Linked DNA regions of Schizosaccharomyces pombe. The gene in region 2 interacts genetically with the main gene of each other region. Each region holds a gene or a part of one and is shown on either strand. Other genes may lie near its edges.

Region 1 (2,873 bases), 240 kb from region 2:
CAATTACTACATTTATCGACATGTTCGGTCCTTTGATGAGCGTTGCAATAATAACCGCTTTTGTCTGTACCTTTGTTTTGTACACTGGAACTTTGCTTTTTGGTGATCGACTTTTTGATAAACCTCATCGGTTATCTGGAAATCCCATCTACGATGCCTTTATGGGAGCTTGCTTGAATCCTCGCCTTGGCAAATTGCTTGATTTTAAAATGTTCTTTGAAGTTCGTATCCCTTGGTTTATCCTATTCTTTATTTCCGTTGGTGCTGCTGTTCGTCAATATGAAACTTATGGCACTGTAAGTCCTCAGGTACTTTTCGTTTGTCTTGGCCATTATTTGTATGCAAACGCGTGCTCGAAGGGAGAGCAGTTGATTGTTCCAACTTGGGACATGGCTTATGAAAAGTTTGGTTTTATGCTTATCTTTTGGAACATGGCTGGGGTCCCATTTACTTATTCACACTGCACCCTTTACCTTTTTTCGCATGATCCATCTGTTTACAACTGGTCAACTCAATATACAACCGGTATTTATGTTTTGCTTCTTTGCTGTTATTATATATTTGATACTTGCAATGGTCAAAAAAATCATTTCCGTAATCAAATTTATGGTACTGAGGTTCATCGCAAAACATTTCCCCAACTTCCCTGGCTTATCATCAAGAACCCTACCTTTATTCGTTGTGCAAATGGCGGTACTTTGTTGACTTCAGGTTGGTATAGGTACGCTCGTAAAATTCATTATACTGCTGATTTCTTTCAATCATTGTCATGGGCATTGATCACCGGTTTTCAGTCCCCTCTACCTTACTTTTACCCATGCTTTTTCTTTGTAGTCCTTGTGCATCGTGTTTCACGTGATATTAAAAAGTGCAAAGCTAAGTATGGGGCTGATTTCGATGAGTATTGCCGTATATGCCCTTACTTATTTATTCCCTATATATTTTAGAAATGTCTTTTTAGTCCCTTCTTTACTTAATAAATTGGCTATTCAAAATTCCACTTGAAGTGTTTTTCTACTTTAAAATTCAGTTAATTTTTGTGAAAGTTCTCAAATTTGATTGAGTAGCTGGAACATTCCTTAAGTTATGAACGAACAAAGTAAGCAGCTCTGACCGTTTTTTATACAATCTATTTCTAGACTTAAAAATTATTAACTTCCAAGTCTTTTTGCATAAAGATTTTTGGAAATAGCGTAAGGAATAGCTAATAAATAGTAACAATCATCTTGTTTCTTCATAGCGATCCATTTACAGTTAAATTTTTTTTTGCATTAGTTCACTCACTTGCTAGATATATAAATTAGTGTGGAATATTTAGGCGGTAGTGCATACGCATAACCATTTGCTATTATTTTTTTGTAGAACTGTATGTTTTTTCGCTTATATTTAATAAGGGTCATGCAACATAATAATAAGAAATTATAGACTCTGCTTGTTTAGAGTAGTGCGCCACCCTTACTTGGGGCGACGGTATCTACTGATGCGAGTAGCCCTCCCCTAACCAAACCAGTGCCAACCACACTAGCTTACCCGCTATCAGTAAATAAATAATATGGTATGAAATATTTTTGTTAACTTTACATCGTGTTTATTTAACATACATTAGTCTTTTTCAGGTGTCAAAGTCTCTCCCGAATGCTTGGAAGCTTTCCAAGAGCTCAAGCTTGGAAAGTCACTCCGTTACGTAGTTTTCAAAATGAACGATACCAAGAGTAAGTGACGAAAACGATTTAGATGGAATTTGAGAAAGTCCAATATCCCTTTTTTTAAAAATAAATTTATTTATCTACATTGATATATATTTTATGTTTGTAATGTCTTTCTATGTCGTTTTTATAATTATGTGGAACCTTTCACTAATTTTTTTTTGTTTAGCTGAAATTGTTGTTGAAAAGAAGAGTACGGATAAGGACTTCGATACTTTCCTTGGTGACTTGCCTGAAAAGGATTGCCGTTATGCTATCTATGATTTTGAGTTCAATCTCGGAGAAGGTGTTCGTAACAAGATTATCTTTATTAGCTGGTCTCCTGATGTTGCTCCCATTAAATCTAAGATGGTTTACTCTTCTTCTAAAGATACTTTACGTCGCGCTTTTACTGGAATCGGTACTGACATCCAAGCAACTGATTTCTCCGAAGTTGCTTATGAGACAGTTCTTGAGAAGGTTACTCGTAAGTAAAACACTTTTGGTTACGATTTCTTGACTCATGCGTAATACGAAATGAAATTAAATAACTTCGTTTCGGTATGCAAACCGATCCTTCAACGCTCCTTAAATATCTTTTTCTATATATTTAGAACTATAAATACAAAGATTTAAGTGTACGTTGGTTTCCTGTTGATATTTAATTTGTCAATAGTATATCTACTTTAAAAAATTTGTCATGTGATAACGGATGAGTCGGTATATGAAAAACACTGCAAGTTATTTGCCAATGTAATTGACAAGCAATCATAGAGAAATTAGTTCTACGCAGTTTCCACCACTAGCTGAAATGTTTGAGTGCCTGGGTGCTTGCAGGTTTTTATTCATCTACTTCAAGTATGGTATAGTAAGTAAGCTTAGTTTTATTTTCTCAGTTCCGACTTTTTAATTCTGTAGATTTCATCTACCACTATTTAGTCATTGAAATTGTTACAAATATTCCTCTATATATAATGATTCTGCATTCCTAAAAATGCTAATTAACAAATTACGAAATCCAACGATCTACAAAGTAATGCCATTCCATATTAATATAACAATTGCTGTTCATTCGCTATCATTTTAAAATGATGTTTTCATTAGTTTGCTCATTGATCACATAGCATGTATTTTACCAGCTATTTTCAACGTACTAGTCTACTTGATCTGTTATTGATCAAATGTAAG
Region 2 (5,254 bases):
TATAAAACTAGGAGAGATCGAGTCGCTTCTCTCTTAGAAGACAATGACTTTATGATCGTTACGTCTGCTCCAGTAAGGTAAACACTTTAAAGTCATGAGGAAAAACGTCTAACCGAGTATCTACAGACATATGTGTGGTGCAGCTTTGTAAGGTTTTTTTTGGTAACACGAATTAACAATTTGAAGCTATGAATACCACCAGGATCCAAATTTGTAAGATTTCAAAATTGATATCGCTAACGTTGTAGTTATTATTTAACTGGTAATCGAAAGAATTAATTTTAGTTTCATTTTTTAACTTTGAATAAAGGTTGCTTGGAACCAAATGCTGTACTATTAATGTGTAAGTACAACTCAACAACAAATCGATGTTAACAATTTCCAAGTTAAAAATGGAGCAAGTGGAAGTTATGACTGTTCTCTTTATCTCCCATCGAAGAATCCATACATAGAGAAATGGGAAGGACTTCGAACAGGTTCAACACTTGGGAAAAAATTATTTCAAATAGAAAATGTAAGCCGAACATATTGTTATTAAGGTATTAATTATTAGGTTTATGATTCTAGTCTAGCTTCCTCGGTTATAAACGCTCTAGGAAAAAAGTCGAATAGGATTTTTTATAATTACCAAACCGGATACCTCTCAAAAATGCCAGCTGCATCCGCTCCTGAATTCATACAAGATACGCTTACTAAACTCTTTAGAACCTCAACCCAAAGGTCGGTAGATGAACTTCTTCATCCGCTTAGGAGCATTAAAAGTACGGCTGAATTGGAGTGCATGAAAGAAGCAGCCAATATAAGTTCAAATGTTTACAGGGAAATTATGCGGAAAAGATTTGAGAAAGAAGCTGAAATGTCCGCGGAATTCAATTATCGGTTTTGTATTGGAGGCTGTGATAGATCCGCATATGTGCCTGTAGTAGCAGGTGGAAAAGTAAGTAATCAATTCCTGAAAATGCTGAATGCTATTACTTTAAGCTTTATTAACAAAGAAGAATGGCTTGACTATCCATTACACAATTAATAATGATATATTCCGTCCTGACGAAATGGTTTTGGTAGACGCTGGCGGTGTAAGTGCCTTCAATTTTTTGTCAATTAACACTTGCTTAACAGGAATTCGGTGGTTATGTAACAGATATCTCGAGGACTTGGCCCATCAACGGCAAATTTAGTACTGTACAAAGGGATTTATATCAAGCAGTTCTGAATGTGCAAAAGAAATGTATTAAGTATTGTTGCACCAGTAATGGCTGGAGCTTGGCTGATATTCACTTTGAAAGTGTTAAATTAATGCATGAAGAATTGAAGCAGGTCGGCATTCATGGAACTAAACGGGTAAGTTTGCTACTTCGCAAAATATTCGTACTAACTTCCTTGGCTATAGGAGATTACAGATATATTGTATCCGCATTCAATTGGGCATGAGATTGGACTAGAGATTCACGATTGTTCTACGAATAATGGTTACCAACCGTTGCGCAAAAACCAAGTTGTAAGTTGAAGTTCTTTTCAGATTATTTGCTAAACGGGGTTTAGATTACCATAGAACCCGGACTATATGTTCCAGAAGAAGACGGATGGCCTCAATGGGCTCAAGGAATAGCTATTCGAATTGAAGATAGCGTAATCGTTGGTGATGACAAGCCGTTCGTATTAACTAGTGCTGCTCCAAAAGAAATTGAAGAAATTGAAGCTTTGAAAAAGTAGAGATTGTGTTACCTATTGACTAAGAATTAGGACTACATCTGACTATCGTAGAATAAAAGACATTATTTTTGGACTAAGTTTCTTAGAAGTAAGATTGAAGGGAAAAAAATCTATATATACTGTTAAATTTTAATCATTACACGAATTTTTTTTTAATATTTTATTGAAAAGTCAACGTCAAAAATAAACATTAGTTTAGAGAAACAAGAAACGTTTTCAAAATAGTTCTGGCATTCGAAGTGTATGATTCCTCTGACTTCGACAGTATTTGCTCAATTCCTTGAAGACTTGACTCGATTTCCACTTTTCAGGTGCTTCCCTTTCTCCTGAACACCAGTATAGACTAAAAATTGGACGTTAAAATAGCGCACATTAAGTATATCAAGTTCATTTACTTACATATCCCAATCGGGCTCATCTAATAATTGATCATACTCTCGCAGAAGAGATACTGGATATTTATCAATCTGATCTTTGGCGAAATTAGATAAAAGCAAATCCGTTTCCAATATTCCCCGTTTTCTAGATTGATATTTAAGTCTTGCCAACATTGCGTCTCTAGTCTCGTAAGAGCGATTCACCCTTTTTAAATCACCTTTGGTATGCTCGAAGCGAAGTTGAGGCATTCTATTCATACATCTTGCACTTCTTAGAAGCGTCGTGATATTAGATAAGTTTGTCTTCCTTAACATTGTTGATATTTTCAAATGAACAACTAAGCGATTAACCAGACGACCTCCGAGGCTATATTTACTTATATATGAATAAAAAGAAAAAAAAATTAGGTTATAGCTCCTTTTTTTGGAAGATTTGGTAGACTATACAACTCTTTGGTGATAGTTTTGCGGCATTGTCTTCACCATCCGTATTCGTTTCTTACCATTCACCATTGTCCGCACCACATTATAGAAATTTCGAAAGATGGAAAAGGAGGCAATTTACAAACTCATTAGAGAATCTCCTCCAGGAGAAGTTAATCAAGTAGTTCATGGTTTGTTAAAGTGCTGAATACCTCAACATTCTAATGCATATAATAGATATACGCGACATCGGTCTAAGTGATGAGGAAGCAATTCACGAACAACTGAAGCTTTATCATGAAGACTACAACTCTTCTGTCAGCATATCGGATGACGAAAAAGTAATTATTTCAGCTGATAATCGTCTAGAGGGCAATCGCTATTATGATCAAGTTTTACAGAAATCATTTACCATTAATTATGAAACTATGGTAAGGTTAAATTTTTCAAATCTTTTTTTTGTGATAATTGTTAAATAGCTAACAGTATTCATAGGAAGCTGAAAACGTTGAAGATTATACCGAAGCCATAAAAATTCCCGATGAAATAGTAAAGCAAATTAAAAAGGTTGCTTCGGATCACTATCTATCTGATGTAACATTTGGAATCATCAAAAAAAGCGATGAAGTGGAATCGTTTACAATTGTTTTGGTTTCTTCAAAGTATAATCCCAAGAACTATTGGAACGGTTCGTGGCGCTGTATATGCAATTACAACGTTTCGGAAAAGAAACTGGAAGGCAGGTCGCATATTCGTGTTCATTACTATGAAGACGGAAATGTTTGGTTGGATGCATCCCGTCCTATTTCTGCTACAGTCGAGGAGACCAGTAAGCTTTATGAAGTGTTGGCTCAAGTCGAAAATGGAATTCAACAGTCCTTCAACGTTGAACTTTCTTCACTTAATGACAAAAAGTTTAAAGAATTGCGTCGTCAACTTCCAGTCACTCGCCAGAAAATTAATTGGGAAAACGTTAGTGGCATCCGTATGAGAAATACTTGAAACACTTATATGTGTTTATAAATTTTGGAAATTTTTTTGCGACGATATTTTTTAAGACGGTGATTCAAGCTGTTTCCTTTTCCTTCTTCCTAAATACATATACATTGTCGCTCGATATACGACTAATAATTACTAGTCGTTTACTTTCTAAAACTTTACAAGAGCAACTCACACGCTCTTTTCTTAAACTCTTATAAGTTTTAGGAAATTATTTTTTTACGATCAATAATACAAGTTCTTCATCATTTTTTTACCGCTCGTCACCAGTAATTTAAGGGCGTATTACTTTTTGTGTGTAAGCATCAGTCGTGCTATTTATCACCAGAATATGCTCTGAGCATCTGACTTTCACCTCTGACTTTGTGATAATATAAATAAATAATGAGGCATTATTAAATCACAAATCTTGTATCTCTAATTAACATTGATTTCATGGTTCAAGCAGCAATTAAAGCTTGAACTTGTGTAGACAGTTTGAGATAATATCACTTCTAAAATTAAACCCAAAAGTAGGTATTCCAACTAACTTATCGTTTTCTTCCGACAAGACTGGAATAGTAAACCTGATATGGCCCGGAACTTGTATACAAAATTTAAGAAACTCTTCCTTACTCAAAAATCCCTTCAATGAATTTAGATCTTTGGAAAGCAACGGTCTAAGTATAAGTGTAGTCTGTGTATTTTTGCAACTGTACTTTATCCAAAACCTGTGATCCCATAAAACATAACGATCAGGATTTATGGTTATAGTTTTTTTTTTCAATTCAGCTTTACTAAATGGTTGTCTGGAAATTTGGAGTTGTAATTTAGTGTCGTCCTTTATAGAAGAGGAAGTGAGTAGACATTTAGCAATTGTTAGCTTTTTTCCATCAAAAACTGAATTACAAAGGCTTACAACAGAAGATCGTTTAATCTGTCTGCAACTTGTAGTCAATGTTAGACACCTTAAGAGCAATTCTTCCTTAGTAAGATTAGAGTGCTTTTTGAGCTCATTTTTTGAAAAGCATAAAGATAATGTACCAGATGGCTGATGGTAGCTCACAATATTATCTTTTAGTATTTCATCAACTTTATTATCTATGTTCACCTGTAAGGACTGAAACGCGGTAGCTAGTTTTGTAGCCTCTACGGTCAATGCGGCATGTTGGTTTAGAAATCTTCGTATTGCATTTCGAGGGGTGAGATTTATATCAGCATTTGTTGGATCCTCTTCCCAAGCAATTCCATGTTGTTTTGCGGTATTTAATATTTGGTTCTTCAATTCATAGGTTAGCATAAAAGTTTAATCCACAATGCGAATTTAATTTATATTACCTTATAATATGGAAGTAATGGGCGTAACAGTTCTATATTTGAAGCCCCACAAATTGAGTCAGATTCTGGTATCTGCGATACTGGTTTCATTGCACACAATCCACCCCATGTTCCGGGTTTACGTCTTAGCAATCTCATAAATATGGTTTCTGCTTGATCATTGGCATGATGTGCTGTGCAAATATGCCTGATATTGTGTGTAATACAAGCTCTAGTCAAAACTTGATATCGATGCTCTCGAGCTATTGTCTCAAGGTTTGTTAAAGAGTGAACATCATCATTACCCCAATTGATGTTGAGATAAACATTTGGTATTAACATACGATTCAAATTCCAGATTGTTTGTAAAGCCTCTTCAGTGCTATTCTTACGAATTCGATGATCAACCACAAAGGCAATAAATTGATTAGGCCATCCAAACATAA

What was found. Genes that interact genetically often act in the same process or in processes that back each other up.
Region 1: mutations in acp1 (region 2) and adf1 are lethal when combined (synthetic lethality), as found in Schizosaccharomyces pombe (2 studies listed by BioGRID).

What each region holds. Positions count from the first base shown.
Region 1 is NC_003424.3:4,824,757-4,827,629, reverse strand, and holds adf1 (cofilin), read left to right. Parts: upstream 1-1,503; 5' UTR 1,504-1,552; coding exon 1,553-1,555; intron 1,556-1,606; coding exon 1,607-1,712; intron 1,713-1,875; coding exon 1,876-2,180; 3' UTR 2,181-2,373; downstream 2,374-2,873. Other genes in the region: C-24(28) sterol reductase Erg4, read left to right, coding at 1-947. UniProt on the Schizosaccharomyces pombe protein: Controls reversibly actin polymerization and depolymerization in a pH-sensitive manner. It has the ability to bind G- and F-actin in a 1:1 ratio of cofilin to actin. Binding to F-actin is regulated by tropomyosin.
Region 2 is NC_003424.3:4,582,621-4,587,874, forward strand, and holds acp1 (F-actin-capping protein alpha subunit), read left to right. Parts: upstream 1-2,594; 5' UTR 2,595-2,634; coding exon 2,635-2,704; intron 2,705-2,750; coding exon 2,751-2,944; intron 2,945-3,008; coding exon 3,009-3,515; 3' UTR 3,516-3,916; downstream 3,917-5,254. Other genes in the region: peptidase Icp55, read left to right, coding at 1-77, 127-147, 187-213, 249-262, 311-343, 387-514, 554-937, 999-1,076 and 3 more; succinate dehydrogenase subunit Emi5, read right to left, coding at 1,930-2,056, 2,113-2,405; til1 (tRNA(Ile)-lysidine synthetase family protein), read right to left, coding at 3,964-4,770, 4,830-5,254. UniProt on the Schizosaccharomyces pombe protein: F-actin-capping proteins bind in a Ca(2+)-independent manner to the fast growing ends of actin filaments (barbed end) thereby blocking the exchange of subunits at these ends.